4 linked regions of the Lonchura striata genome follow. The protein of the gene in region 1 purifies or fractionates together with the protein of each later gene. This does not show direct contact. Links are inferred from orthologs where the notes say so. Each region holds a gene or a part of one and is shown in the gene's direction. Other genes may lie near its edges.

Region 1 (7,953 bases):
TTGATTAGGGAAGAAGGAGGTCGGTGTCACACCTCTGCAACTGGTATTGTTTTTTCCTGTGATTTTGGATGTCTTTTCTGTCAGGGCACCTCAACACAACCATTGCAATTGTTTTAAATAAGGAGTGTGAGACCCATAACTATGAAGAGACAGACAAACAAAAATTTTAAAGGAAAACTTAGGCGCTGCCACAGATGCGGTGATGACAATGTTTTGATCAGTATTGTGGATTTTTTGCTCACATGATCATGCATTAAATTTTGAATATAAAGCCATCTTGATATTTGTTTGGCTAGTAGTAATTAAAATATACGCACTGAGAAATGCAATGCTTCATATTTAATGTTCCATTGCTTAATTTGCCAGTAATCACATATTCTGATGAGTAATGCCTCAGCTACTAAATCAGCTGGAGACTTAATCTTAGTTTCTGACACATACCTAATAAATAAATTGTTGTAGGAATTCATGTATACTGAATTAAATAAGAAAGTTTTAAGGCATGTTGCATTTAGTCAAAATGAACAGGAAGGGAAAGAACAACTTTTGTTTAAAAATCAAATTAGTGACCAATGACAATTCTATTTCTGATGCCTGCAGCAACATTTATAGAAAACTTCAATTTATGTCATTTGAATGAGGTAACAAGATTTTTGATCACTATCTTCTGTACTAATTTATTACTAATTTGTAGGGTCTTTCTTTCCTTCAAAATCACCTACACATGCACTTTTTTTTTTTTTAATAATTTTTGAGAAAAGTAAAATCTCACCATTTTTTCTATTTTCAATAATTCTATTTTTCTTTGTTGATAAACAACAACTTTTTCCCACTGAAACTGAGCCTGAATGGCATAGCTATTTACTTTAGCAAAGACCTTGACGTGTATTAATAAAATGTAGGTCTCAAATATGAAGCAGAAGTTACATTGATTAGTCCTGTGTCTCTAAGAGTGCTTAAATATCACAAGCATCTCCCTCTCTTTTCCCCTTCGCTCCTGTATGAAAGTGAGACTATGTGACTTTTTTAATACACTACAACCTTACTTTGCTGGAAGAAGACTCCTTTTATTTTTTTCTTTCTGGTTAAGAGGATCAGAATTATGTATCTTTTTGCTGACAAGTGAATATATATTTAGTCAGTGTCTGAAAAAAAATATCTGTAGTTGATTCTTGAATATGTTCCTAGAGCATGCACAGTTAGAAGCCAATTATGCATACATTTTTAAGATCCATATGGGAAATCACAGATTCAGGCCCAGAGCCCTAGATATTTCTGTAATTGGTAATTTTGCTTTGTCCTCATATTAGTACCATGGCTACTCATTTGTTACTATGTTCCTTATAAACAAAGTTAAACACCAGGATTTTAGAAGGAAAGGTGACCATCTAAGTTTACATTTAACTGTTTCTTATTTTAATTAAGGGGCTTCCTACTTTTTACTGTACTAAAAGTGGAGTCTACAAAAGCAGTGCTAAGGATGAAAAAAAAGTTAACAAAAAGATTTAAATCATTATCTTTTAAAATTCAACCATGAAGCTCTCCTTTGCACTGAGGATTTCTTACTGCAAGGATACACAATGGACATGTTAGGAGACTGCTTGACCTCTTAAAAAAAAATATGTCTGCAGCATACTCTTCTAGTAAACTGCCACCAAAACAAACCTATTAAAGTATAAAAGAGCTCAGAGGAAACTTCTGAAGCTGCACAGACACACTCAGTGCTTCTTGGGGAAGAAAGGAAAAAAAAGTAGAAGAGGAAGAATAACTGGACCGTTTGTGAATTTACTGATGGAGCCCTGTACTGTAATATTCCATATAACATTTACTGTTCTTGTTTTGATAGTGGAACTTTACACACTGCATTTTAGAAAAATTAGGAATATAAAATGTATTTTAGAAACATTTTTATAATTGAGAGAACAGCGACAAGTTAATTGTAATTTCAATTCGGCTATTAAGATTGTTTCTCTGAAGTAGGGGTTTGGGAATTTTTTAAAGGTACAATTTTAGAAAATGTTTAGCTACCTAATAGCTAAAAGTTGCAAAGCTGATATGAACCAAATTTCTATAAGCAATGTGACTAGATGCAAAAGTATCCTAACCACTTTGCAGCGAAACAAATAGAGATTAAAATTACAACCCATGCAGAAGTAAAGCATCCAAAAATCAACAAGAGTTAATCATTAGGTACTAAAGGCCAATATATTATTTAAATATATATATATAAGTTGTATGTTTTAAACCTGTTTTTAAAAGGTCTAGTTCCAGTTGTCCTCGTCAGGTCAAAAAGAAAAGCGGTCCACAGTTCAGGGGCCAGAAGCAGAGACATGGACTGCACCCTTCCTGCTCCTGCAAAATCCAGGCTCCAAAAGCCCCATCCCTGCAGACCTCGGGGGGTGGGATGGCACACAAAGAGCCTCTGAAAGGTATCTGGGACCATGCAATACATCAAGGGCATTTGACTGATTCTACTGTTGTTATCAAGTACCCAATGGAATTGCTTATAGCGAATTTGGCAATAATGCCCTATAGAAACAGCACTTTGAACTTATATAGTACCTTTGATCCAGGGATCTAAAAGGAGGGGTTTGTCAGTATTACTATTCCCGTTTTACAGAGGGTGAAACCGAGGCAGAGCAGATTTTCTGAAGGTTGTAGAAGAAGGCAGCTGAGAAAGGAAGGTGGATAAAGAAATTAACTCTTCCCTCCACACCCTTTTCTCTTTTTTTATTGCTTGACAATCTTCAATAATACTTTCTCTGGCTCTTATCTTAAATTGGGATAAAAATTCTGGTGTCAAGAACAAGGTCCTTCTGCTCATAGCTGCACCAAATAACTCCCCAGGAAGATGATGAACACTCACGGTCCACTGGCCTGATCTGGCAGAATTTTCTTTGCCAGCTCTTGCCAACAGTCACCCTCATTCTTGCCCCTCTTTTGACCAGTATTGTCAGAACGGGCAACTGTCCCAGGAGAAAACAGGAAAGCTGCATTTCTCAATTCTCCAACTTCAGGGTTGTCCAAGTAGCATTTCTTTTCCTTACTAGTGGGCACTAAAGGTTGCCCATAGCAGAGGGAGGCTGGTGGGTGAATGATTGCTATGCCTTGCAGTGGCAGGGGTAATGGGAGGAAAATAGGATTTTTTTTATCACCACTGCCTTTCCAATGCCATAGGAGTAGTAACAGCTAACCCACCCTTGGAACACTTCTCCGGCACTTGCCTCACTGGATGTGGCCCCCTTGTCACCCATGCCAGTTCCACCTTGTCTCTTGTATGCAGCAAGCCTTACATTATCCTGCCAACAAACCTCCAGCCCAGGATAAATACCCTGTTTTAAAAAGCTCCAAATTCAAAAGAAAGCAGCTTATGTGAAAATCAAGCAGCACTGTGAAAGAGGTTCCCTTAGAGTAACTCTACATCTGACTGAATAAATCAATGGGGGAAAAAAACCAAATCTTTAATTGCAACTTTCTAACTAGAAACTTAAGAGCCTGTTTAAAACTGGATTATCAGTGGGAAAAAACAAGCATAAAGGTAGTCCCCATGTGAACCGCGCATCTCCCTGCTGCAAAAACTGCACAAACTGGGGGCTGGTGGGGGACGAGACTGGAAGAAGGAAAAAAAGAATTCAATCTCCCACATCAGCCCGTGCCAAAGCAAATTTATTCTGCGGGGGGAACAAAATAATATACATCTTTGGCTCTGGCAATGGATGTTTCCCATAACCACGTTGTATATTCGGTCCTTGTTTCATGTGGAGAGAGGTGTGAATGTATTTTTCCCTCCTGGTATGTTAAACACAGACTTTGCCACTGCAAGACGATGCACGCAAAAAGTCTGTAAAACATTCTGCTGTGCAAGCCCGATCACGCCGAGAAGAGGCCGCCGCGGACGTGCCTTCACACGCCGCGAAAAAACCTTGTGCAATTCGTATTTTCCTGTTTTTTACGAATCGCTAAAGGAGCGAGGGGAGGGCTGGGAGGAGGAGGTGTGTGTGTGTGGAGGGGGGTGAAGAAGGGAAGTTCGCTTCTCCCTTAAAAAAAAAAAAAAAAAATTGCATAACGAGATACTTTCTTTGGCAACTGCTTCCTGACAAATATTTACAAGGGCAGAGCGGGAGCGCGTTTCCGCCGCCTTGCCGGGCCGAGCCGCGGGCCGGGCTCGGCGGCCGCCCCGTCCCAGCCGGGGCCGACTTCCCGCGGCAGCCCGAGATCCCCCGGACGTGGCGGCGCGGGCGTCTGGGAAGACGGAGTTTCGCTACAGTTGGTGCCGTGCACTTAAAAAAAAAAAAAAAAAAAAAAAAAGAAAAAAAGAAAAAAAAAAATTAAAACCCCAGGCAACGAAACTCCAGATTAAACGGGGGGTTTGGAAAGGAGTAGGAGAGAGGGAGTGACACGCGCCTTTTGCCCCCCACCCCCACCGCTCCCCTTCCCAAAGCAGGACCCCGGGTTGATCCCCGCAGTCGTATCCCCTCCCCCGCCGCCTCCACACCCCTCAGGGCAGCAGCAACTTCGTTCCCAAGCCGGGAACTAGGATCCTTCTTTCCCACCTCCGGAATAAGGTGTCTCCGCCGCGCTCCCCCTGCCCCGGCCAGCCCTGCCCAGCCCTGCCCAGCGCCGCCTGGCCCGGCCTTCCCCCATTCCGCCGCTTCCCCGCTCCCTGTCTCCCTCCGCCCTGGGAGCCGGGCACTATTTCTCCTCCTCCCTCTGCCTGCCCTGAGCGCCGGGCGCCTATGGAATGCCGCGCGCGGGGCCCGGCCGCGGCGGCAGGATACACAGCCGGGCCCGCCGCTCGCTATAAGAACCTCCTTGTGCGCGACGCCATTTTAAGCCTCTCGCTCGGTTCGGCGCTGGGAGCAGCGGCGGCGGCGCTCGGGGGACACGAACACCGCCGCCCCGTACGGTCGCCACCCGGAGCCAGCGGCGGGGGCACCGCCGTGAGCGAGGAGGAGGCGGGGGACGAGGAAGGAAAGACGGACCGGACCAGGATCGCCCGGGCAGCAGCAGCAGCCGCCGCCGCCGCCGGAGCCTGGAGGGACCCTGAGCTCTCCCTTCCTCCGACGTTAGTGCCGCTTTCTCCGGCGGGAACTCGGGCAAACCCGGGCCGGGCACCCCCGTGGCCGTCAGGGGGTCCAGGGAGTGCCCAGCGGGAAGGACGGGGCTGGGGGAGGGGGGAGCGGGGGTGGGAGAGAGGTGGGGGGGCAGGAAAGGAAGAGAGAGAGGGCTCTTGTTTTTGGGAGGTCCGGACAGCTGCGTGGCTGCAGGAGCGGCAGCTGCGGCTCCCGAGGAGTCTCTTGGGAAGCTCGTCCTGGGGCGAGGGGGTGGCTGCTCCGGGCGGGAGAAGGCGAGCCCATGCGCCCGCCTCTGCTCTCGGCTGCAGCAGCGTCCGGAGTACTTTAATGGCCCTTTTTTATTATTATTTTAGAGGTTCTTCCCCCTCCCTTTTTAGGGGACTACTAACTCGCTGTTGGGTATCAGATCCCCTTTGGCGATAGGAGGGGGAAGAGAGCAGGGTACGGGTTTATTTGTACGGAATATAATTAATCACGGTCACTGCAGTCAGCGGGAGATAACTAATCTGTTGCCTTGTGGGGTTTCGCTTTTAGTGGCGTTGCATATTTGCCGGAGAGGCTGTGCTGCTGCTTCTGGGTGTCACCGAAATGAAGCTTTCCCGGAGCTGGGAGCAATCAAATTAAGTTTTTTAACACCCACCTTACCAGGGTATTGCAGGGAACGACCTGGGCTGCGGGCGGTGTTGGGGCTCCCACGCTGCGAGGGGAAGCGCCCGCTGCTTCCCGTGGCCGGCTGGGGGACCACGGCGGCTCCAGCTTCCCGAAGTACCGCGCTCCCGAGCTGTGGAGATCAACTCGCGGTTACTCCCAGAATTGTCTAGGGCGCTTCTTTCTCTAGGAACAGGGTCTCCTGGGGTGTTGTGGTTTGTTGTTGGTTTAGTTTGTTTTTTGGTGTTTGTTCTTTTTTTTTTTTTAACAAAGCTTAGTTCGTCTCTTTTGTGCATGATTAGCTGCTCCTAGAGCAGCAAGTTTTCTTAAATGTAGCAAAACCTTACATTTTTCCCTAGTTAAAACTCGATGTAGGATGTTGGGTCGTTTCTTTTTGTGTCTCTTTCCAAAAACCTCTGAAAATTATCCTAACTGGAAAGAAAGGACAGACTGTGTGAAGGTACCACGAGCAACTTACTTGTGACTTTAGGAATAGCAGTGTTGATCTTTGTAATCAGCTACTTCTTGATCTCTTTCTCATGGAGCAGCCATTGTTCTGACACTCTGTATATTCCAGACATCTGTGGTCCTCCCATCCCCCAAAGTATGCAAGTGGTGAATGGAAAGAGGCTGGGCTGGTATGCTGAGGTCGACGGACGGAAATCAAGGAGGGGTTTTAGTAAAACAGGATCTTTATGTACTGAGACTACAGTAAAGCAAAGACGAGAAAATTAGTTGCAAGAGTGTCAGGGTTTTCTTGATCTAAGTTCGGACACACCAGTCAGCAACTTCCTAGTTATGATTTTGATTCTAAATGAGAAAAAGATACTGCTGCGAGGCTCCAAGAAAAAAGTCTAAGCGGCAAAACTTAGTGGTGTGTATTGGCCCAAGTTATAATGTGAATTTCAATACGTAACAGTCCAGGAACCTAATGTTGATCTTGCACTTTTGATAAAAAGGTGCTGACAGCTGCAGGTATGTGACTGCTGTGTCGTTGTCTAATGGCTGGTACTGTTGCAAATGAGGCTGCTTAGGTATTCAGGCAAGAGTTTGAGGCTCTCTAAATTCAACTGTTCAGTTCAAAATTATACTGAATGTCTCATTGTTCTGAGGCTGTTCTAAATAAATGTCATATTTGTTTGTCTGTTAGTTCAGATATTTTCTATTTAGGTGTAAACTGATATCCAGGGGAATGTTTGGTCTGTATGGCTGATCATTTCCACAAAGTCTAGGAGACAAGTACAAACACCATGTTGGAAAGGACAATGCCATGCACGATAGCTTCCAGGAGCAAGGATTTAATGCAAAGTAAAGCTTGATTGGAAAAATCAGTTCTTCAAATTCTGTGTTACAGCCTTATCAAACCAAGCTTCGTTTTTCTTGCCTAAGCTATAAATAGAATGGGCTCTTTGCATGGTGTATGTCTACTCTGGACACCAGCATTTTGCTCTGACTGTGATGTGTCAGTAAGTAGCTTACCAAACCTTGGCTGTGAAACCTGGTTGCCCTTCAGACGAAATTATTTTTTTCTGAAACATCTGTCCATCTGTAGTGACTCTACATCTGGATTAGCATCCTGAAATACCATGTTCTGAAGAGTTCTGAGTTTTTGGGGATGTTAAGGCAAGAGGTTAATACTAGTGGTGTTCTGATTTTGCAGTGTTTTCAGGAGTGGAAAGGGAAGTGGAAAGAATAGAGCAGGAAATATGGCTGCTGGAGGCTTCTGTCTCAGAAATTGAAGTCTGAGTGTGCTGTCTGAAACTCTTGGATAAGGATGTTTCTGTAGAGTATTGTCTAGTAGGCAGACTGGTGTGCAAATACATCGGTAATCAAAATCACTTACCTTAATTCAAAGTTAAACTGGTAATGCTGGGGTTGTGGTGATCATGCAGTTGCCTGCAGCAAAACTTGTTCTGTGACTGTGGTAGCCTGCATACCATGGCAGGAAAATCGGGACTGACCTTACCTATCTTGAACATCTTACTTGACAAAGCCTGGTAAAACCTGTGAGAAACTGCAGGCAGCTGTGTCTTGCTTCTGTGTCCTCAGAACATGCACCTGCAAATTCTGAGCCCAGTGCTTTGCTGGCTGACTGGGTGGGAACCCAGAAATGGTAAACTCCTTGGCAGTAAGTATTGTGTGTAATTCTTCTTGTTTCTTTATATAAAATTATTTTCCTGAAAGGGCAATATTTCTGATTTTCCAGTTAAGCACCAATTGAATTGGCTAG
Region 2 (7,983 bases), on another chromosome or scaffold:
CAGATTAGCAAAACTTAACTCATATCCATTTTTTAAATGGCCGCTTTGGTGGAAAATCTTACAAATGAGGGATTATCAATCTGGAAGTGTGTTTTGAATGTTTTGTGAAGGTGAATGAGGGAGATGTGCATTGCATCTATATTTGAGTGTGGATTTACAGCAGTGGCTTTTGCTTTCCTTCTTCCCCTTTCCCTTCTCGTGTTCAGCCTGAATGGCTTTGCCATTGCCTTCCCTGGTGTCCGATTTGGGTTCCTGTGTCAAACCTGGCTTGCAAGGCTAGGCATGAGCTTGGGTGGCTCTAAGGGGTATTTTCAGTAGCAAGCTGCCACTGAGCTCGGCGCTACTGCTTTGGGAGGAGTCCCAGTGGAGTGCTGCCCTCACATTTTGTTTCTTACAGCTGGGTCTGACTGGCACATTCGCAGCCTCGCTGCCCCTGGAGTCCAGCTGCCTCAGGTGGAGTTCTTCACAGAGCCATTCCTAGGAGCTCCTTTCCTTGGAGTCTTGATTCAAAAGGTAAGATTGGAGAAGAATGTAGGCAATTTTCCTCTTAGTGGTGGAAGTACATGAAGCTATAAATGGAACTGTTGCTGCTTGATAAAACAATCACTCCAAAAGTTTAAAAAAGTTAAAACGCTGGCTTTCTTAGCCAGCTTTCCAAAAAAAAAAAAAAAAAAAAAGAACTTTTAAACATGATTAAAAAAATCTGAATATTAAAAAAAATCCTGAATATTCTAAATATTTTAATTGTCATGGTCTTATCACTTCAGGCTAGTAGCTGAAGTTCTGCAGTGTGTTTGCATATTTTCCAGATATGAGAAGCCACTTTGGAATATTGGAAAAGGAAGAATAAGATGTTGTATGGATGCTATTAGTTTAAAAAATTTAGTTTACCTCCTGATACTTTGCTGGAAGTTGCACTTAATTGAAGGAAGGTTTGTGTAAATGTATGTTTATCGCACCTCAGTGTGAAAATAATAAGTTACTGCACAATTTAATGTAATTTTAAAAAAATTCCAAAATATTACAAAAAATATTATAAGAGAGGGCTACAGGAGGGCTGTTACATTCAGTGTAACATTGTGCATATTTCAAGACCCTTATGTGTGCACCTTTCTGTTAGGTTCAGACCTAGTGAAGCCCCAGAGATACCCAACAACAAAGAATTAGGCTATGTGACAGGCATTTAGGAGGAAACCATAATGAATTCTTACTGTTTTCTCCTACTTTGATCAGTGTTGGGAAATTAATTCACCTTGGAACAAAGTTTGGTTTTTTTTTTTCTCTTTATGGCTGCTCTTCAGCCAGATGGTTTTGAGTTGAACTGTGGGCAGAGGTCAGAATGGGCTGGAACGTCCTTAGGCTTTATTTCTGAAGCTGTTTCACCAGAAGTGCTTTAACAGCTTTGTAGGGGTTTTCTGCTGAGCCCTGGTGTGATTTGAAACCAGTTGGAAGAATTGATAAAGGAAATAGGGTGCTGTGCAGCAATGGGAACCCCACTGGAAGAGTAAATCTGCATATTGAGGTCTGTCCATGTTTGCAGGCATGGTGTGGAGGGATTGTGGCTTTACTTAAGTACTATTTTCTGTCCCTTTTCATTAGATTGTGCTGTTGTATGTGCTAAGGAAGCTGCTTGCCAGCATTCAAAGTGAGGCACTTTCTAAGAGTCATTTCTCTCTTATTTTCATGCATATCTCAGAGTCAATATGTTTTATATATATAAGTGTCAGTCACCGTCACCATTGCTACTCTTAATTTTGGGGTTGTTTTGAGCGTGTCTGTAAGCAGTGGGGAAGAAGAAAACTTCTAGAATGCTAAAACACTATTTAGATCACTGGACAAAACAATTAATGCAGACCCTCAATGAAATGGTATGTGATGGTGAAGCATCCTGGGGTAGGCCATGGGTAGGAAACAGCCAAATCTGTTGGCAAAATCAGAAGCAGCTCTACAAAGAGAAGAAACCCTGGTTTTTTACCTCTTTGCAGTTGAGAGTTGAGACACATATTTAAAACGAAACAGCAGAGTGTAATGCTGTAATAGATAACTGTCAGCAAATAGCAATAAGGGGAAATGGGGAGCTGTATTTAAAGTAAATAAAATTTGAAACCTTTTAGTAGCACCTCATGGAATTTCTATTATTGTCTATTATTTTAATGAGTTGAACAACATCCTATTTTTAGTGGAAGGTCAACTTGAACTTTATTTGAACGGGGTCTCTGGTTCTGAACACAGATAGGAGCACGTTAAATGTGATAACAAAAGAGAAGGCTTGGAGCCAGACCTCCTTAACCTATCGTTAGGGGCTCAGATAGCCATCCATGTAAGAACTGTGTGCCACTTAAATGGAGAGCAGTCCTTGTTCTGGGCTCAAACTGCACGCAGTGAAAATAGCACTGAGACTCATGTGGAAGGATTTTGGGGTTTCATTTAAGAATTTAAAATAGATCCAAAAAATAGTAATGATTATTTTAAAAAATGAAATGCTGCCATCTGATGTCACACCACTTTTTTGTGTGTTATTTTTTTTTTTTTTAAAGTAAGTGCTTTTTCAGTTTCTTAAATATTAGAACTCTAGTTTTCAGATGAAAAACTGCGGTACCTGCCAAAATGTACATGGAAGAAATGTTACAAACATTAAAGTATATCTAGCCTAAGCAGTATTATTTTAATTCTGCTGTCACTCACAGTTGTGCATATCCAGTAGAACTCCACTGTTGAGTGAAATTATTTTATTTTTCTGGTAGTGAGATACTGTCAGGTTCCCAAGTTTCCATGTTATACTTCACTGGGAAGATGTTTCTTGCAGTGGCTGTAGGTTTAAGGCAGTAGCACATTTTTTGGATAGCTGTTGTTTGAGAAGCAGTCCTGAGTGCCAGTACAAAGCCAAAGGCTGTGGAACTGCTCAGGCTGTAGGATTCACACTTCTGCTGGAACATCTCCTGGAATTAGTTGGTGTTGCAGCTGGCTGAAGTGTGTGCATTCACCAGTGGAGGGGTTCTGATAGGATGTTTAAGGCAGATGGTTTCTGGCCTTACTAGGATGAGCAATACTAATATCAGGGTAACCTGAACATAGGAGTAAGAATAGAGATGATGTTCTATAGAGTTATGGTGTGAATTGTTTCTGAAAGTGTTTTACTCTCCTCAGCCTGCTTTTTGGCCTTGATTAAAGAAAGTGTGGGTAAGGTACTTCAGTGTTGTTATGGTTTTATTCCAGTACTCTGCCACTGGCATTCTCTCTCATCTTGAGTAAATAATTTTTCCTCTGTGATTCTGTTTCCTTCTGTGATACTGGAACACAACCTCTGCTTGAAACAGTGCTTGAAATAGAAAGCACTGTAGGAAAAGAAAACATGAGTACTAAACAAGGAAAAGAGAGCTCGTTCTGAGTGTTATAAATCTGGGAAAAAATCTGAAATTTTTATCTCACTAGCTATAAGAAAGTTTTCACGAGACAAGTTTGTTGAGGTGCAATGCTTTATCCCACCTCAAAAGTTTTTGGTTTTTTTTTTCATAAACCTTAATTAAACCTTTTAATGTCACTACTAGGTCAGTCATGAACCATTGCTTGCCATGGGGATTCTCCAACACCCATAAAGAACTAGGCTTACACTGTTTTCTTGGTAGATTGATTGTAAGGTATGATATATCACATTATTTATGTTGAGAACTGTGTTGAAGAACTTGGTGGAAGTCTTATATTCTTGTGAATTTTAACTGCTCATCAGATGTGGATTGAAAAAGTGCTCTTGGGAGATGGTAAACACAGGCAGAATTGAAAGGAAATACGAAAAAAAAGTGCTATGTTTTTTTGGTTTTAATTTTTGGGGCTGCGATTAAAAAAAATCTTCCAGTTACTTCATTGCTAGCCTACACCTAAATGCAAAGCCTGTTTAAATAAAGTAGCTTTATGTGAATTAATGTTATTAATGGGTCTGAATCTTGCCACCGTCTCCTGCTCTACTTGTGGTGTCTGTGCATTAATAGACACGTGTCTTGTTGCTAGTGGTAAGAAATGATGAATTCTGAGATGGTTATAGAGCAGCCTGACAGCTTTGTTTGGAAATTTAAGTAATTTACCAGGTGCTTTATAGACTTTACCTGGTGTTAAATGGGCCAGGTCCTTTGGAATACTGCTCCATTCCAGAGCATGGTCTGGCCTACAGAGTACAAGTACTCTGCAGTAAAACAGTGTGCACTTTTCTTTGCCTGAACTACAAGCTTTTAGCATCCTGAATGTCTTATTTCATGTGTCAGCTAGCATTAAAGCAAAATGTGGTAATTGTTTTTTGTGGCTTTATGAAGTCTGATTTGCACTCTCTGTACTGACTGTAGCAAAAAGGCTAACAAGTTATATTATCAGAGTGCTGTTGGTAACAATTAATGAAGCTGTAGAGGAAATACTGAAATTAAGAACAAATAGTAAAAAAAATCTGTTATGTATTCTCAGAAATGTTTCGTATCTTGGAAATCCTCAGGTGCCCTGTCCATATGTATCTTGGTAAAAAATACAGATCCTGACTACTTTGTTTAAACATTTCTTCATTTTTTAGAAGGCAATAGGCCTTTGCATTTTCTGAAACTGCTAGGATAATATATTGTGTGTCATTGCAGGGTACCATACAATAGTAAAAAAACAACAGAGAAAACAATTTTGGTGCCAAGTTCTGTGCAAGAGCTTTATGAATCCCTTTGCTGTCCAGCTCAGGAGTCTGAGAGTGAGTCACTGCCTCCAGACTGAAGTTGGCATACAGTCAGAATGTATGGCAAAACAGTTGCTGTGCTGGAAATTACAAGAATTATCACAGGAAGTATAAGTAATTTAATGCTTCGTGTCCTCTAATTGTTCAAAACCTTCTCAGCTCTAAACTTTTTTGCCGTGCTTATGCTCTCCAATACAGCTTTAAGGATGCCCATCCCCCTGCCAGCCCTCCAGCCGCCGCTGTGTGCTGTCAGTCATCCTGAAATACACTGGGAGCTTGTCAGGCTGTCCCTTGCAGATGCCTCAGGAGCCCCATAGCGAGCCAGGGCAGTTGCACTGAAGTTCCTAACCCAAGGAAATTTCATAGGCACTTGCTTTAGTGCTGCATATGGACCATATGTTTTCTAGCATAGGTGAGTGACGCTGTTGGCTTTCTAACAATCTGGCAGGAGATGGATTCTAAAGTAAAGGTTTTCTAATTTATGCAGAATGTCTTTGGCTCTGCTTTCTGACACTTATTAGTTAATGTCTGTATACAGTGTACTTACAGATTCTAAAAAAAAAGCTGCAGGTGCTACGTTCACGTTGCATTGCAGATGGATATAGGCTTCGGCTGGTTTTCCAGTGTCTTTTTCTTATTACACCAAAAGACTCAATAGTTTTGTATTATCTTGAGGTGGGGAGCATTTGGTAGGAGTGTGCAGATGGTTGGTTTTCTGGCTGTTCTGGGACACAGCTATATCTTGTAACACATGCTTAACATCCTAAGTGTTGTAAGAGCTGCTGGTGTACAGGGCTGAGATTGCCTTCTGTAAAGGTTAATCTAACTGAGTGTGAGGTTATACAGCCTTTTACCAAAACATCTCGCAGTTAGGGCCCCTGCTGTAGTTAGGGGGATGTTATACTGGAGTAGACAAATACAGTTAAAAAAAAAAAAAAGGAAGGTGGAATGTTGATTTTAATATTTTTCCTGAGGCAAACATCAGATTTGTCATCTTAATGAATATGATGCGGAAGGACAGAAGTTCAGTTAGTAAGTGGAAATGCCAGAGAAAATCCCAGGATGATCTTTACTGACTGTATTTTCTTCCTATCGCCTCTTATCCTTGCCTTAATTAAAAAGAAATAACTAAAGAGTCCAATTTAAATATTGATTTAGCCAGTATGGTATATAACAATAAAGAGAGCCTGGTAAGCTAAAAATATGCAGTCAGATTATCAAAATGATTTAAGATCTTGTGGTTTTTGCTGCATTGGCTTGCAAAACTGTTTCCATCTTTTTAGAAACAAAAGGAGGTTTCAGGAAGCATTAGAATTTTACTTAAAAAATATTGCTGGAATCAGCAAGTGAACCCTTAAGTGAGCTATTTATAGCTTAAAATATAATTGAAATTTTCAGAGACAATAGTTTTTGCAATTGACTTTCAGTTGATGACTCGTTATGGCCTGACTCAAGGCTAAAAGCTATTATTGCCTTAACTGGCTTTTGAACTCAGGGCTCAAGCAAAGAATAAAAATGCTGATGTTAGACAGTATGCTAAGGGTAAGAAACAAACAAACAAGCAAAAGCCACAGAACAACCCAGAATAGGGAAAGTCATGACACATGGATTCACATTTTTTCTGACCTGCAAAAATGGGGTTGGATTTGTAATACTTTCCAAGTTTGAGAGTGCTCCAATCTGTGGTGGGATTCTGGAGCACGGTGGTCCTATAGTAACAGGAATTTATTACTTTTAATTTAATTACAACGACATATTTATCTGCTAAAATTTAGAAAAAGATCTGATGATTGCAGATAGCATGTAGCAGAGGAGATTGTGCTGTGAGAATGGAGAGCAAGCAGCAAAAAGGCTTAATTTCTCCATTTTGAGTAAAGCAGGTGCTGAGGCCCTTTATCAAGGAATTTATCAAGGTTTAAAGCGTAAGTGTATCTGCAGAAAAACAACCCGATTCACCTCGTGGTTTCTTTAGGGCTCAGCAGGAGCATGAAGTACAGTTCCCATCCCGTTTACCTGTCCCCTTGTAACTGATGTATGTCTGACCAGAAAAAAATGCACAGCACAGTCAATACCATCTGTTTGCGACTGTTATGATGGATTTCAAGAAGTGCCCATAGTTTGGGAGACTTGTGAAAATATCAAAGATAAGGGTTGGTACCCAGCACCATCATAAAGATTTATTATTTTTCCTAGTGTGAATAAAAAGCAGATTCATTGAAATATTGGCCAGAGATTTAGAAAACCAGTGAATTACAGGTGGCAGAAAAGGATCTGTCTTTTCCAGCGTGTGTAATGATGCGGTTTGACGCAATCCCAGTGAAACTGGGGGACAGTATCTTGTTGAATTTAAATGCTTTTTGAAGGAGGGGTGAACACAAGGAAAGGGCTCAGGAGCTGCTGTGCCGTGTGTTCAGAGGCCTCCCCTGGGGACCTGGAGCTCGCTGCAAGTGCAGGGATGACAGACATTAGTGGCGTTCAAAGCTACTTGTTAGTATCGGACAGAAAGATTTAGGGGTCTCAGAGTTTGTTTCCTTGGTGTTTCTTGAAAGTATCTAAATGTTAAATATGTAAAATATGGGCAGATAATTTGCTTTGACATTTCCAGAGTTCTCTTTCCATTCATATCTGTGGAAGGAAAAGTGTTTTTTTCTGGTCGGTCTGATCTCAGGTTTCTTTGTCTTTTGGCTCAGAATTAAAACTGAAAAATCAGTTCTTTCCAAATGCTACCTCCTGGCTGGATGCAGCTGAATTTTTTTGGAACTTAGCTCTGCCATTAGTATAGTTTGTAGTTAAAGATAAACTTGGCGCTTGGGTAACCTTTAATAAGAATGGCAAAACCCTAAATTGCTTTATACCTTAATTCTTTTATTGCTCATATTATCTTTGCTTGTAAGTGAAATGTGAATAACCCTCCAGATTAATATCTACACCCCTTGCTATAGGAACCCTAAACCTACTGTGTTTTATTAAATCAGTGCCAGGTTCACTGGAAGGTGACACTATATCTCTTCAGCCTGCACAATTGCAGTACCGAATTACTACATTGTACAGCAGCAGTGGTTGTAATGAGTTTTGCTTAAAAAGGACAGATAACCGTTATTTGTGTATTTGAAGTCATTATTGGCTAAAAAGGCTTTGCCAAGCTGTATTTTATAAGAAGGTAAGGTACTGTGAAATTTAAAGTGTCTTTTATTTTGGGACAATAATCGGTTGCAATCCAGCTAAAGCAGTTATAATTCTTTGTTGACACACACACACATTTCAGGCTAATGGCCTGAGTC
Region 3 (7,521 bases), on another chromosome or scaffold:
CGCGGCTTTCCCAGGGCCCGCGGGGAGGCTCCGAGTCACAACCTGCCCTTCCCACGGAGGATCCACGGGCTGGGTCTGCAGCTGCCGGCACAGGGATGGTTTGTGCGATGGGCTCCTGGCCCCGCGGCTGTCCCAGTCCCAAACTGCGGTCCCAGACTGTGATCCCGGTCCTAATCTGTGATTCCAGTCCCAAACTGTGATCCTGGTCCTAAACTGCGATCCCGGTCCCAAACTGTGATCCCGGTCCTAATCTGTGATTCCGGTCCCAAACTGTGATCCCGGTCCTAATCTGTGATTCCGGTCCCAAACTGTGATCCTGGTCCTAAACTGTGATCCCGGTCCCAGACTGTGATCCTGGTCCTAAACTGTGATCCCGGTCCCAAACTGTGATCCTGGTCCTAAACTGTGATTCCAGTCCCAGACTGTGATCCCGGTCCTAAACTGTGATTCCAGTCCCAAACTGTGATCCTGGTCCTAAACTATGATTCCAGTCCCAAACTGTGATCCCAGTCCCAGACTGTGGTCCCAGTCCCAGACTGTGATCCCGGTCCCAGTCCGTGCATCCCAGTCCCAGACTGTGATCCTGGTCTCAAACTGTGATCCTGATCCCAAACTCTGCATCCCAGTCCCAAATTGTGCCTCCCAGTCCCAAACTCTGCATCCCAGTCCCAAATTGTGCCTCCCAGTCCCAGCTCCTGAGGGTCCACTGGGCAGCAGCAGGAGCCAGGCTGGGTTGGGGACAGGGACAAACCCCCAGGAGCCGCGCTGGCACTTCACTTTTGGCTTTTTTGGGGCGGGGGGAAGGGGAGGAGGCGCGGGCTTGGCCGCCGGCCCCTGGATCATGCGGGAGGGGGTTGTTTACTGTAACTCCTGGCCCAGGGCCCGGCAGCAAACCCCAAATGAATTCAAGCTGCACAGGGAGGTCACAAGCAGCTCCCGGGGCAGGAGGGGCTTTGCCGGGGGGTCCGGAGCTCAGGGCTGGGGAGCATCCCTGAGGAGGTGCCATGTGCAGGGCCCTCACCCCCGAGGGTCCCCGCATGGGGACAGTGGCTCTTGGCCAGAGCCCGGGTTTGTCTCCCAGTGCCACCAGCCCTGGTCCCGCGCCGCCCTGGCACCCAGCACGGGACGTTTTGTTTCCCAGCTCTGCAAAACCGCCCCGAGTTTGGTGGCCTCATCCTGGCCGCGAGCACCGGGGCTGGGACGCCAGTGTCACCCCGGGGCACGCCAGGCCAGGTCCTGCTCCCAGGGCGCCTCTTCTCATCCCAGCCTCTGAAAATCCACTCGGGCATCCCCAGCGCGGGGTGGGCAGAGCTGGGGGCCGCGGCAGGAGCGGGCTCCACGCAGCCTCTTCTTCCCTGGCTCCAGAGCCTCTTGGCCCTGGGGATGCTCGACAGCATTTTCCTGGCTCCAGGCGAGTGGTGAGGAGTTGTTTTGTTTTTCTGGCTGCTGCCCGGCCTCCCTCTCCCCCAGCAGCCCCCATCCCTCCCTGCTCCGCTTCCGCCGCCTCGCAGTTTGTTTTTACAGGGATTGAAACAAATGATGCAGAGAGAGATTCCCAGAGCCCCCACCAGAGCTTCCCCTCGGCTCTGCTCCCTCCTGGAGGTGTCTGGAGCAGCCCCTCCTTCACCTGGGGTGCCCCAATCGCTTCCCACTCCTTTCCCCCACCACCCCTTTCCACTCTTTTTTTTCCCTCCAATCCCTTCCCACCCCAGTTTTCCTCCCCAAACCTTCCCATCCCTTTTTTTCCCCCAATCCCTTCCCACCCCATTTTCCCCCCAATCCCTTCCCACCCCATTTTTCCTCCAATCCCTTCCACTGCATTTTTCCTCCCCAATCCCTTCCCACCCCATTTTTCCTCCCAGTCCCTTCCCACCCCATTTTCCCCCCAATCCCTTCCACCCCATTTTTCCTCCCCAGTCCCTTCCCACCCCATTTCCCCCCAATCTCTTCCCACCCCATTTCCCCCCCCAATCTCTTCCCACCCCATTTTCCCCCCAATCTCTTCCCACCCCATTTTTCCTCCCCAATCCCTTCCCACCCCATTTTCCCCCCAATCTCTTCCCACCCCATTTCCCCCCAATCCCTTCCCACCCCATTTTTCCCGGGAAGGGGCATCATGAGGCTGTGCTGGGCCACCATGGGCAGCTCACGCCAAACCCCGGATCTTCCCGTGGGCATTTTTAGGGAGCAGAGAAAGGCTGGGACAACTCTTGGGGTGCCACCAGCCGTGCCTGGCTGGGCTGCTCCTTCCCCCGGTACCCCGTTCCCACTGGAGTGATGATCCCGAACACAGCCCCCGGCAGCGTCCCGGCTGTCGCACACCCCTCGTGCGGTGACATGGACGGGCACGGCCGAGTTCCCGCACACCGGCGGCGTCCCGGGGCCCGGCTGCCATCCCGGGATGTGGCAGTGCCAGCCTGTCCTTGTCCCCCTGCCAGCAGCCCGTGTGCCACCGCCGCTGCCAGCCCTGCTCCCGCGTCCTGAGCGGCGAGGGGACAGCGGGGGACAGCGGGGGACAGCGGGGGACAGGAGGGACAGGAGGGGACACCAGGGGACAGGAGGGGACAGGAGGGGACAGGAGGGGACACCAGGGGACACCAGGGGACAGGAGGGGACAGGAGGGGACACCAGGGGACACCAGGGGACAGGAGGGGACACCGGGGGACAGGAGGGGACAGGAGGGGACAGCAGGGGACAGGAGGGGACACCGGGGGACAGGAGGGACAGGAGGGGACAGGAGGGGACACCGGGGGACACCAGGGGACAGGAGGGAACACCAGGGGACAGGGGGGGACAGGAGGGGACAGGAGGGGACACCGGGGGACAGGAGGGACAGGAGGGGACAGGAGGGGACACCAGGGGACGGGGGGGACAGGAGGGGACAGGAGGGGACACCAGGGGACACCAGGGGACATCAGTGGACAGGCCGGAGCAGACAGGAGAGAACAACCAGGAGGGGTCAGGCTGGAGGGGACAGGCAGGGGGGGACAAAAACGAGGGGAAAAGAAGGAGGGGACAAGAAAGATGGAGGGAAAGATGGCAGGAGGGGTCAGCAGGGGACAGCAGGGGACAGCAGGGGACAGGCAGGAGGGGACAAAAACGAGGGGAAAAGAAGGAGAAGACAAGAAGGACGGGACAAGAAAGATGGAGGGAAAGATGGCAGGACGGGACAGGAGGGGACAGCCAGGAGGGGACAGCAGGGGACAGGCAGGAGGGGACAAAAACGAGGGGAAAAGAAGGAGAAGACAAGAAGGAGGGGACAACCCCACTTGTCACTGCATCCTCCAAAATCGCGGATGCTCAGCCCGGTTTTGGGGAGCCCCGAGGCAGGGGCACCTTCCCAAGGCTAGGGTTGCTGATCTCCATCAGCCTCCCTGTCCCGGGGTGCAATTAGAGCCAATTAACTGGCCACTAATGAAGTGCCAGGCCGTTATCAGGAGATGGAGAGTGGGGTGAGGTTTCCTGGTGGGGTTTTTCATGGCCTGAGGTCGAGGGTGTTTCTGTGAGGGGGAAATCCTCTGCGGCAGTGGGTGCTCCATGATCAGTGAAAAAATGGAGCGGTTTTGGGGGTGTAAGGGACGATTTCAGGTGTGTAACTGGGGCTGGTTTGGGCGTGTAATTGATAATTTCAAGTGTGTAATGTATCATTTCAGGTGTGTAACCGGCATGTTTTGGATAGGGGTTTTTGTATAATTTCTGGTGTGTAACTGGCACTGGTTTGGATGTGTAATTGATAATTTCAGATGTGTAATGGACAATTTCAGGTGTGTAACTGGCACTGGTTTGGGTGTGCTATGTATAATTTCAGGTGTGTAACTGGCACTGGTTTGGGTGTGTTATGTATAATTTCTGGTGTGTAACCGGCATGTTTTGGGTGTGTTATGTATAATTTCTGGTGTGTAACTGGCACTGGTTTGGGTGTGCTATGTATAATTTCTGGTCTGTAACTGGCACTGTTTTGGATGTGTAATTGATAATTTCAGATGTGTAATGGACAATTTCTGGTGTGTAACTGGCACTGGTTTGGGTGTGTTATGTATAATTTCTGGTGTGTAACTGGCACTGGTTTGGGTGTGTAATTGATAATTTCAGATGTGTAATGGACAATTTCAGTGTAACTGGCACTGTTTTGGATGTGTAATTGATAATTTCAGATGTGTAATGGACAATTTCAGGTGTGTAACTGGCACTGGTTTGGGTGTGTTATATATAATTTCTGGTGTGTAACTGGCATGTTTTGGGTGGGTTATGTATAATTTCTGGTGTGTAACTGGCATGTTTTGGGTGTGTTATGTATAATTTCTGGTGTGTAACTGGCACTGGTTTGGTGTCCCCACGGCGCTGGGGTTTCACCCCTCAGGGAGGTTGTGCAGGGAGCATCTTCAGAGCCCTTCTCCACCGCGGCGCCGGGCAGAGGCGCCTGCAGCCCCCAGGAGCCTCTGCAGAGCAGTGGCATTTCCAGGAATCTCCTGCCCCAGCTGCCGCGTCCGAGCTGTGTCCCTTTGTGTCCCCGCAGCTGCCGTGAGCCCGTGCACCTCCCCGCGGGTGCCCCAGGCCGTGCCCATGGACCTGCGGATCGGGCAGCGCGTGGTCAAGCCCCAGGACTCGGCGCTGCTGGCCCTGAAGCAGCAGCAGCTGCAGCACCAGCTCTTCCTGGCCAGCCTGCACCAGCAGCAAGTGGAGCAGCTCACCCACCAGCACGTCAGGGTATGGGGCAGGGCATGGGGGGGCCCACACCCCATTTTTGGCAGGGTTTGGGGCAGGATCGGGCACTTTGGAAGGTGAATTTTGCCCCCAGAGCGCAACAGCGCTGGCAGAATCGGGGCTGGCTTTGAGTTCCCCTCTCTGGGCAGGGATTCAGAGGAAAAGGCTGGAAATCCCAATGCCAAAATGACATTCCCAGGTGAATTCCTGATCTTCCCTGAGCTGGAACATCTGGAGGGGTTTCCAGCCAGCCCAGGGACCTCTGTGACGCAAGGAGGCTGCTCGGGGAGGCAGGTGGAGGGGTTGTGTCTCAATTCCAGGCCAAATTCCAGAGCTGGAGCCTCCCGGCGTGTCCAGCACGGGCAGAGCAGGAGCCAGAGCAGCTGCAGGGGATCCCTGCGGGCCGGGAGCTGCCCCTGCTCGGCAAGTGGTTTTTTGGGAAGTGTCACCGAGCTCTGGTGCCACCCGCAGCTCCTGCCCCACGCAGGGGCACTGCCAGGTTCCATTGGCACAAGAAACCAGCGGGATTTGGTGGGGATGGCTCCTCCAGTCCCGGGGATGGCTCCTCCGGGAGGCTTCAGAGGGAGGCAGGTGGGAGGACACGTCCAGGGAGCTGTGACCACGTCCAGGGAGCTGTGACCATGTTCAGGGAAATGTGACCATGTCCAGAGAGTTGTCATCGTGTCCAGGGGGATGTGACCATGCCCAGTGAGGTGTGACCACATCCAGGGAGTTGCAATTGTGTCCAGGGAGTTGTGACCACGTCCAGGGAGGTGTGATCACATCCTGGGAGGTGTGATCCTGTCCAGGGATGTGTGATCATGTCCAGGGAGCTGTGATTGTGTCCAGGGAGGTGTGACCACGTCCAGGCAGGTGTGACCCTGTCCAGGGAGGTGTGACCATGCCCAGGGAGGTGTGACCATGCTCAGAGAGTTGTCATCGTGTCCAGGGAGTTGTGACCACATCCAGGCAGTTGTGACCATGTCCAGGGATGTGTGACCATCTTCAGGCACCGAGATCCCCCTGCCTGTCCCCAGGGCTGCTCTGGGCTCGGGGCAGGAGCCAGTTCCGTGGATCAGCTGGGATTTCCGATCATGGATCTTTTTTTCCTTTTGTACTCAACAAAGATTTTTATTTTTTGCCGCGTTGCAACACCCAGACGTGTCCAAACACCCTGAGAGGAGGCAGCGAGTAGGAACAGACAGGTTTTGACTTTTATGATGTCCCCGGGGAGAGCAAAGCATCCCTGGAGACCGAAACGCGTCCGGTTTGTTGTGATGGAGCAATTTCACGGGTTCCCATCAGCCGGGGTGACACCGGGGACTGTCCCAGGCGAGCTCTGTGCCCCGTGTCCCCCTGCCTGGGGGTCAGAGGGCTCAGGTGGGGCTGGGGTCCCTGCCCATGTCCCGGTGTCCCTGTCCCACAGGTGGCCATGGAGTCCCCGCACCGCGAGGCTGAGCCGGGCCAGCAGGAGCAGGAGCTGCGGCAGATCCTCAACAAGGACAAGAGCAAGCGCAGTAAGGGCTGCCTGCGCCCGGCGGGCACCAGAGGGGCTTTGGGGAGGGGGCTCGGGGGGCTCTGCCCTTACCCAGACCCGCCTCTGCCTTCCCGGGGTTGAAACGGGTGGGAGAGCATCCGCAGAGCGGGGCTGCAGACCCCGCTGGGTCCCCGGGCTGGGGTACGGACCCCGCTGGGACCCCCGGGCTGGGTTATGGACCCCCTGGGACCCCCGGGCTGGGTTATGGACCCCATTCAGGTGACAGACCCCTCTGGGATCCCCGGGCTGGGTTATGGACCCCCTGGGACCCCCGGGCTGGGTTATGGACCCCATTCAGGTGACAGACCCCTCTGGGACCCCCGGGCTGGGTTATGGACCCTGCTGGGACCCCCAGGCTGGGTTATGGACCCCATTCAGGTGACAGACCCCAGTGGGACCCCTGGGCTGGGTTTTCAGACCCCTGGGCTGGGTTTGGTGCCCCTCAGACTGGGGTTGCAACCCCCACTCATCCGCCAGACCCTAGTGGGACCCCCGGGCTGCGTTTTTAGACCCCCAGACTGGGTTTGCAGCCCCCCGGGCGGGTTATGGACCCCGTTCAGGTAACAGACCCCTCTGGGACCCCCGGGCTGGGTTTTCAGCCCCCCAGACTGGGATTTCAGCCCCCCAAACTGGGTTTGCAGCCCCCCGGGCTGGGGTGCGGCCCCCTCCCAGCCGCGGTCTCTCGGCGCCCTCTGGTGCCGGCGCTGGAGGAGCTGCCAGGGGCTCGCTCCCAATTTCGGGATGCTCAGGGCTCCGCATCGCACCTAATTAATTATAACTTAGTTAATGAACTCGTGCTCGGAGGTGCCGAATGCTGGCACAGATCCGTGGAGCTTCCTGCTGGCGCAGACAGAAGGGGTCGGGATGGGAGCAGAGCCAGCTGCGCCTCTCGGGGGTCTCCAACCATCCTGGTGGCACTCCCGGGGTCGGGATCCTGCCCGCGGGGACCCTTCAGAAGGGCTCTGAGCCCCCTGGGGTCCCCGTGGTCGCTCACCATGGTCACCCTGCAGGTGCCGTGGCCAGCACGGTGGTGAAGCAGAAGTTGGCCGAGGTCATCCTGAAGAAGCAGCAGGCGGCTCTGGAGAGGACCAGCAACGCCCCCGCTGCAGCCCTGCCCTACAGGTAAAGCATCGGCACCCTCGGCCCCCACAGGGACCCGCCCCTGCCCAAACCTGCTCAGGGACAGCTGGGAAGGGGCTCCGGCTTCTCCCCGCAGGTCCCTGGAGCCTCTGGAGCCCGAGGGTCCCTCCCCTGCCATGCTCAGCACGTTCCTGTCCCCC
Region 4 (7,157 bases), on another chromosome or scaffold:
CATAGCAGCAAAGAAATAAAATCTAAAAGCATTTTATTAGTTCTGGGGTTTTTTTCTGTGAGGGTGCTGCTTGTTACAGAATCTCCATTCTTCGAGGATTTCTGTAATGAGTATCAGCATTTGACTCCATATGGGGTCATCTTTTTTTGCATGGGTAAAATTTACTGATCAAAGGGATTGTTTTAAACTAGGCACAAGCAGAGTCTGATATGCTATCTGCATGCCATGTTGCTGTTACCAAATATTCTCTCATTTGTGGTTGGACACAATTTTAAAAACTTTTGGTCTTCACATGTCACTATATTTGCAGTCTACTTTTTGAAGGTAGACACACGACAGGCTTACAGTTTGCTTAAGCACGTCAGATGAAGTCTGGGCTGTTTCTTTTCTGTGAAAGTTTAATTTTACCAGGATGGCTACACTAAAATTTGAACAATCTCAATGTCATCTTCATGGCACTCAAAATTTAAAAAGCACAAGGATGAAATGTATACACCTACATATGTTAAACTCTAAAAAGTTTCCATTGCATTAAGAAATCTACTGAAATTAATATATGGTATTGTTTGCATATGTTGAGGTTTTTTTTTTTTGTGGGGATGGATTTTTTTAATACTGTAAATCAATGTGTTGACAGTTACGATAAAGCTGATGACAGTGACCTTTGCTGATAGGCAGAGTGTTTTGGGGTTTTTGTTTTATTTTGGGGGTGGTTTTTGGGTTTTTTGAAATAGATATAGCATTATTTTGATGACTTCTTTGACTGTTGATCGTGTGTGTGTGTGTACACCACCTCTTGCCTGCAGCACTGTTAATCTGAGGCTAGAAGAAAAGTGACAGTGACAGAAGTGATGGCTTTGAAATAAGTCTAATTGTATTTACTCTTGATGGGATAGTCCAGCTCAACATCAGCCTTGTGAGGAAGTAGAACTGGCAGTATCTCATCTCACGTGGGTAGTATCTTGCTTTGGCTCTGTAAACTAAAAAAAAATTACAATCCCCCACCTAAGATCTGAACACAAACCAAGTTCTTACCCCTCTCTTACCTTCTTGAACCCAAATGAGCATATCATGGAGCAACTACAAACAACTCTGTTTCACTCCTTCCGTTTCCCAAATTTTGGGAAGTTTTACAGTTTTGATACATGTTCAGCAATGCCTATTAGCATACTTGCTGCACAGCTAATAGTATCAGAGTTACTTTTACTTGTGGTGTTTCAATTTCTTGTTTAACAAGGAGCCATCTAAAGAACATTAATTAAAATTAGATTGCACAACTAAGCAACAAAATTGAAAGATGTGTCACCTGAGAGATTTGACAAAAATCTGTTATTAAACTGTTGTTTACTAACTTCATAAGCATGTTAGTAATTAGTTGTCTCTACTGTTGGGTAATGGCTGAGAGGGGATATCTTCCTTTACTGTGCATTTGACCATTATGTAGGTGTTCAGTAGGTTCAGTAACTTCTGTTATGAATTTCTTTATGCCATTGGTTGCTTTCAATTTAAGGTCTTCACATCTGGACTCTGTATGGACTGTTATGGTTTTGTGTGTTTGTGAACTTTTTCATGTTAACTTGGAAAGTCCTCTTTCCTGCTTTCGTTGGGGTGTTTCTTTGGAGGGGGGTGGTTTGGTTGTTGTTGTTGGGTGGGGTTTTGTTTCAGTTTTGGTTTTCTGGAGGTTTTTTGCATAGTCTTCTGTGCTACTTTCAGGACTTCAGAAAATTCAAAAAAAAAAAAATTAGAGCCTTTTGTCTTTTAACTTTTGGCAAGATTCTTTTTTTTTTTTTCAATTATTTTGCCTGTTGAAGTAGAGCTGAACATTCACCTTTTCTGATACCAATAACACAAATATCTCAACACCCCCACACCCTGGCATGGTGCTGTTTTATTTTGCTAGATGGCCAAGGATCAATGAGATTTGGATGGAGTTGTGCTTTTCTACCTTCCCCATCAAACCAGATCCTACCTATCAGTTTTAGTCTAAAAGATGGTGTCAAAGGTGTTGAAATATCCTCGCCACTCTTCCCAAACACCTGACTTCTTCCCAAGGGCCTTCTACCCCATTTTCCTTCACCAGTGATTCTCCATGTGTGGTTTTGTTTGTGTGCTTTGCAGGGGAGGCAAAAGATGAAAAATGGGAAAGGGGGAATGTAGCTCCCTTCCCACCATGACTTACACTCCTCACTACACAGAGAGCACTGCATTATCTGGAGCAGCTCTGGGAGAGGGGCAGGAGCTGAGGCACAGCAAGTAGACACAAAACTACGCTGGAAGAATAGAGCTGGCTAAAATAACACAGTTATTTTAATTTGTAATTTGCTGCCACATGTATTTTTAAAGTTCAAACTGTGTACCTGAATGAAAAGCATTTAGCGAAGCTCAGGGACAGAGTTTTCATCTGTGATAAGAGAGGACAACGAGGAGTTGGAAAAATATGTCAGTAAATTTGTGATTAGCTGAGAAATCCTATTCTAGGAAAATTGATATTTTCTGGGAATTTATTCTTCTGAGCAGTTCTAGCAGAAAAAAAGTGACACCGTCTTTTGGAAATGTCAAAGCTAATAATTTTAACTTCAAAAAATATTAAAGGATGCCTGTAATAAAAGACAATGGAATGAAGGTTGTAATAATCATCATGAAGATGGTCTGTTTTGCTGCTACATTCCAGGCTACAATGGTTTCTCAGAAGATGGAAGATGCAGCTCCACAAACCTATGGAGTGCACTCAGTGGCTGCATCTACACTGACAACTCTTGTGAATATTGCCGGAATACCTACTGGTGTGACAAATCTGCAGATGTATAGAGCAATTTGGATAATGTGGAGAACATGACTGTCCACATTGTGAACCAGTCAGGGGAGTTTTGCTTCTAACTAGCTCAGGTCTGGCCCTTTGGACAGCCTCTGTTAGCACCTTGAGTGCAATAGTAGTGCTCTTAAGCAGCTTTTCCTGTTCAGTTTCATCCTATTCCGTGCACTCCAGGGTTCTGGGATGCATGCTCTGGTAGGTGGCACCTGGCAGGTTATCTGTGAGGCATTGCAGGTGTAGATCTGCTCAATTACATCCTAAAGCAGGGGGCTGCAGCCCACGATGCTTCAAGCTGGGAGCAGACACTGTGGTTGTATTTAGGTTACAAAAGTGTACTTCTGTGCCTACAAACTTGGCCTGGCTCAACCTGAGCAAGCGAGAGCAGGGGACTTTGGAGGGTGGCTCTGTGTGACACCCTTTCTGTGAATGTTCAAGTCCCTCTACCCAGAGCTCATGGAGAGATGAGGAGCCCATAGAGCAACCTGAAGCTGCCTCTTGAGTAACTTACGGTATAGCACACTGCTGTCACCTGCTTTAACCACGCTCCCTGCCGCTCCCGCACGGGGTGCGGGGCTGCTGCTGGGCTCCAGCCAGAGCATGGCTTCACCTCCTCAGGTGATTCCTGAGCCTTTCCTGGAGGGCTGTGAAGATGGTGAAGGGCCTTGAGGCGAAGCCACGTGTGGAGCAATTGAGGTCAGTTCAGCCTGTAGCAGACTGAGGGGAGACCCCATTGCAGTTGGAGATTGAAGGGAAGAGGAGGGATAAGCACTGAGCTCTTCTCTGTGGTGACAGCGAGAGGATCCCCCAGGGAACGCCCTGAAGTTTTGTTGGGGAAGTTTAGGTTGGATGTCAGGAAAAAAATCCTACCCCCAGAGGCTGGGCCTGCGCTGGAACAGGCTCCCCAGGAAAGTGGTCACAGCACGAGCTCAAGAAGCATCCGGACCACGCTGGGGCACAGTGTGACCCTCGGGCATGGCCTGTGCAGGGCCAGGAGGCGGACTCGGCGATCCTCGCGGGTCCCTTCCAACTCGGAATACGCTGTGATCGTACACAGGGCGTGAAACGCGATGCCAGCCGCGATTTGAACTCAGGTTTCCCGTACGGCTGTGCATCGCAGGGAGGCGGGGACGCCGCGGTCGCACCGAGCGCCGCCGAGCTCGGCGGGGCCGGCGCGCGCCGCAGCGCCCCCACCGGCGGCGGCGCGCGCTGCTCGCGGGGGAAGTCTCGCGAGCGCGGGCTCGCGGGGCGACTCGCGCGCGGCTTGGCGGCTCCCGCCGGGACGGGCCGGGCCGGGCCTCGCTCCCTCCGCCGGCCGCGCTCCGACACCCGCAGGCCGCCGCCGCCGGCAGATCCCGGCTGCCGCCCGCGCCTGTCCGCAGCACGCAGCCCGCCGGACGCCAGCCCGAGCCTCGGCGAGGCGCCGTTTCCTCACGACGCGGATCATGTCCGCCGGGCAGCCGCCGCGGCCGGACGAGCCGCCCGCGCCGCCGCTGCCGCCGGGTGCCAACACCGGCGAGGCCGCGGGGACGGGGCCGCCCTGCGCCGCCGGCCTGGCCGGGGGCGACGCGAAGATGGAGGTGAGTCGGTTCGGCCGGCGGGGTCCCCCCGCTCCCCCGGCGGCAGGTGGGACACCCGGGCCGCGTGGGGCCGCGGGAGACAATGGAGGAGCGGCCGCGGGGCCGCACCGGGCAAGGCCGGGCCGCGCTCGGTCCCGCCGCCCTCCCGCCGTGAGCGTGGCCCGGCGCCGTGCGATGTCTGCGGTGTCCCGTCCTTCTCGCCCCCTCCCCGCCGCGGAGGGGTCGCGCTCGTCCTGCCGCTGGGACGCGCGGAAGAAGGCACTGCGGCCGAGGCACGCCACTTGTTTTCCAAACGGGGCGGCGGGAGCCCCCCGCGCACCCCCAGGCTTTCTGTCTGCTCCTGCTTCCCCGAAACCCTGCCCAGCCTTTGCGCTTCCTGCTCCAGCCGCCAGCCAGCCCGGTGTCTAAAACGCATGAGCGATGTTTGTCTGCTGAAGTGCTTCAAAACTTTTTTCTATTTTTTTTTTCCTTTTTTTTTCTTTTGAGAAAAGAGGTGCGAGGGTTGTGAGAGGGGTTGTTTTGGCAATAGGTGCATATATTCCAGAAATTTCAGGGGGTTGGAAGTGATTGCCTGGAGATGCTAATTCTATCGCGGCATTGTTTCTTTAATGATAGCAGGAAACTGGTCGGTCCTGCTTTCAGCGCTGGGTATTTTGTACTCTGAGTCACGCTGGGCTGTTCAACCTACTTGTGCTAAATTACATTGCAAATGCCATGTTTTTCGGATGAACAAGTAGCCAAAGCACTGTGGGAAATTAATCTTGCTCGAACCTGCAGAAATAGGGCACTTCCAGGCTGGAGTTTAGCGTGTGCAGGCTGAGAAACGCGTGCTCTTGTGGCGCCCGTGTGCGAGGGCTCTCTGTGCTGCCAATTCCTTTCCTTTTTTTACCTTGGGAAGGGATTTCCTGGCGTACAGTGAAGTTTGAGTTGGAATGCCTTGGAGCCGTGAGCATCTGAAGGACTGTTTTCCCTGGTCTCCAGCTCAGCTGCAGGGTTCTGTCATCTGTGCAGCAGATGATGAGCTCGGATGGCCGTGCCGCTCTGCTGCTGTGCTTTCCAGGTTAGGCATTGTGGCAGAAAGGGGAATTGCGAACAGAAGTTCCAACGGTCCTCTGCTTGTGCTTACTTGGGTGTTGGCTCAGTCCAGTGAGGGATGAGTAAGAGGATTTAGTTATGATTTCAGAAGAGCTTTAGCCATGACTTCTTACACTCAATTCTTTATATTCTGTCTAGTGAATTAAACATTTGTGTTAGGATTTTTCTGTTTCCACATGCCTCACCTGCTAGAGGCTTGTGAGGAAATACCCACTGACGAATATCCTGTTTCTTGCCAGCCTTTGTTTCATTTGTTTCTTCTCCTGTTCCTTTGTTCTGTATTGGCCGATAAAGATTTAATTTAGCCCCATACTTACTAAACTCAAATAAACAGTAAAAACACTTGACGGCATCTCATTTGTTTCATTTTCTCAATCTTTCAACAGTTATTTTGTTATGTGTTACCTTAGCATTGTTTATCAGGGAAGGATCATCTCACTGCTTTTAGTTTTAACAGGAGATGAAAATGCATATGGGGAGACAATATGCAAAGAGTTAACCTAATGACAGAAAAGACAAGGATGAAAAAGCCCTGATCCAGAAGAGTAATTTAAGGCAGTATGTTAAGAATTTGGCAGGAAGGGCATGAGGGAAGACTGCCCTCTCCTAGCCAGCTGGTCCTTCTGTTGTTAGTAGTACCATGGGTGATAAACATTATTTAATTTAGTAAACTATGTAGGAAAAAAAAAATACAGTTTCCTAAACTCCTCCTCAGCTTTCAGGACAAAAGTGCAGTGTGGATTCTTGTTTAGATTTGTTTTTTTAATACACAGTGATGAGGGATTGGGGTAATCTGGCAAAAACCTTGAAATTGCTTCAGGCCTAGAGCTGGTGCTTTCACAGTCCGTCTCAGAGCCAGCTTCAGGGGGGTTGGCTCACAACCCTAGAACTGGCATGCTGATCTCCTGGACCACAGCTGTCTCCCTCATTCACATTGATGTGATGCTTTAATGATGGAGCTAAATCAGATTACAGAGACTCAGCTCTGTCCCTCACCCTGTGGCAGGGATCTCCGATTCATCTCCAGGTAATTGTATAGGTAATAATAGAGAACTGACTACTGTCTATCCACATCAGGTGCTACGACCAACTTTTGCTGCTTTGATACAATGTGAAACGAGCTTGTTCTCCTTTAGATGGGTATCTTCTCTTTTTCAGAAATATTTCTTCTTAATTCTTTTTCATCTCAGGAGCCTTTTGATGATACGTCTCTGGCAAAGCAAAAAGAAATCCAGGAAACAGATCCTACATATGAAGAGAAAATGGTATGTAATATTTGGCACTGTGTACATTTAGTACTTATGCACTTATTTAAAATAGATTTGAGTTTTCTGTTTGCTTGTTTGAAATATCTTAAACAGATTTATAAAGATTTGTCTGGGTATTAAAAAATATTTAAGTAACTTGAAACAAAAAATATTCAGAAGAACACTTCTGGGACCATTCTCCTTTCCAGGATTTTAAAGTTACCTGTAGAGCAGTTCATCCTCTAGGCAAGGGGGATTATAAAGAGTTGAGCATTCAGCTTCTCGGTCAGAACTGGAAAGATTGTCTAGGAATCTCTTTATGAAGCTTTAATTAGAGTCCTCAGATTTTTGAAGATGGATGCTGGTTTTGTGCTTCACAGGTTAGAAAGGAGAAAATTTGTTATTTTCCTTCTTTTTTATTTTTTC

What was found.
Region 2: the proteins of CTNNB1 (region 1) and CTNNA3 purify together in Homo sapiens (affinity purification with mass spectrometry; 4 studies listed by BioGRID and IntAct, counting the BioPlex papers as one, with this or other methods). This does not show direct contact. The link is inferred for Lonchura striata from reciprocal best matches to the Homo sapiens genes CTNNB1 and CTNNA3.
Region 3: the proteins of CTNNB1 (region 1) and HDAC7 purify together in Homo sapiens (affinity purification with western blotting; 5 studies listed by BioGRID, with this or other methods). This does not show direct contact. The link is inferred for Lonchura striata from reciprocal best matches to the Homo sapiens genes CTNNB1 and HDAC7.
Region 4: the proteins of CTNNB1 (region 1) and SMARCA5 purify together in Homo sapiens (affinity purification with mass spectrometry, with the first as the bait; 3 studies listed by BioGRID). This does not show direct contact. The link is inferred for Lonchura striata from reciprocal best matches to the Homo sapiens genes CTNNB1 and SMARCA5.

Annotation. Positions count from the first base shown.
Region 1 is NC_134603.1:112,026,328-112,034,280, forward strand, and holds the start of CTNNB1 (catenin beta-1), read left to right. Parts: upstream 1-4,946; 5' UTR 4,947-5,065; intron 5,066-7,953. UniProt on the Homo sapiens protein: Key downstream component of the canonical Wnt signaling pathway.
Region 2 is NC_134609.1:35,368,601-35,376,583, forward strand, and holds the start of CTNNA3 (catenin alpha-3), read left to right. Parts: upstream 1-4,976; 5' UTR 4,977-5,089; coding exon 5,090-5,114; intron 5,115-7,983. UniProt on the Homo sapiens protein: May be involved in formation of stretch-resistant cell-cell adhesion complexes.
Region 3 is NC_134629.1:8,687,211-8,694,731, reverse strand, and holds the start of HDAC7 (histone deacetylase 7), read left to right. Parts: upstream 1-4,516; 5' UTR 4,517-4,563; coding exon 4,564-4,707; intron 4,708-6,130; coding exon 6,131-6,221; intron 6,222-7,251; coding exon 7,252-7,363; intron 7,364-7,457; coding exon 7,458-7,521. UniProt on the Homo sapiens protein: Responsible for the deacetylation of lysine residues on the N-terminal part of the core histones (H2A, H2B, H3 and H4).
Region 4 is NC_134606.1:64,813,231-64,820,387, reverse strand, and holds the start of SMARCA5 (SWI/SNF-related matrix-associated actin-dependent regulator of chromatin subfamily A member 5), read left to right. Parts: upstream 1-4,155; 5' UTR 4,156-4,254; coding exon 4,255-4,389; intron 4,390-6,674; coding exon 6,675-6,749; intron 6,750-7,157. UniProt on the Homo sapiens protein: ATPase that possesses intrinsic ATP-dependent nucleosome-remodeling activity.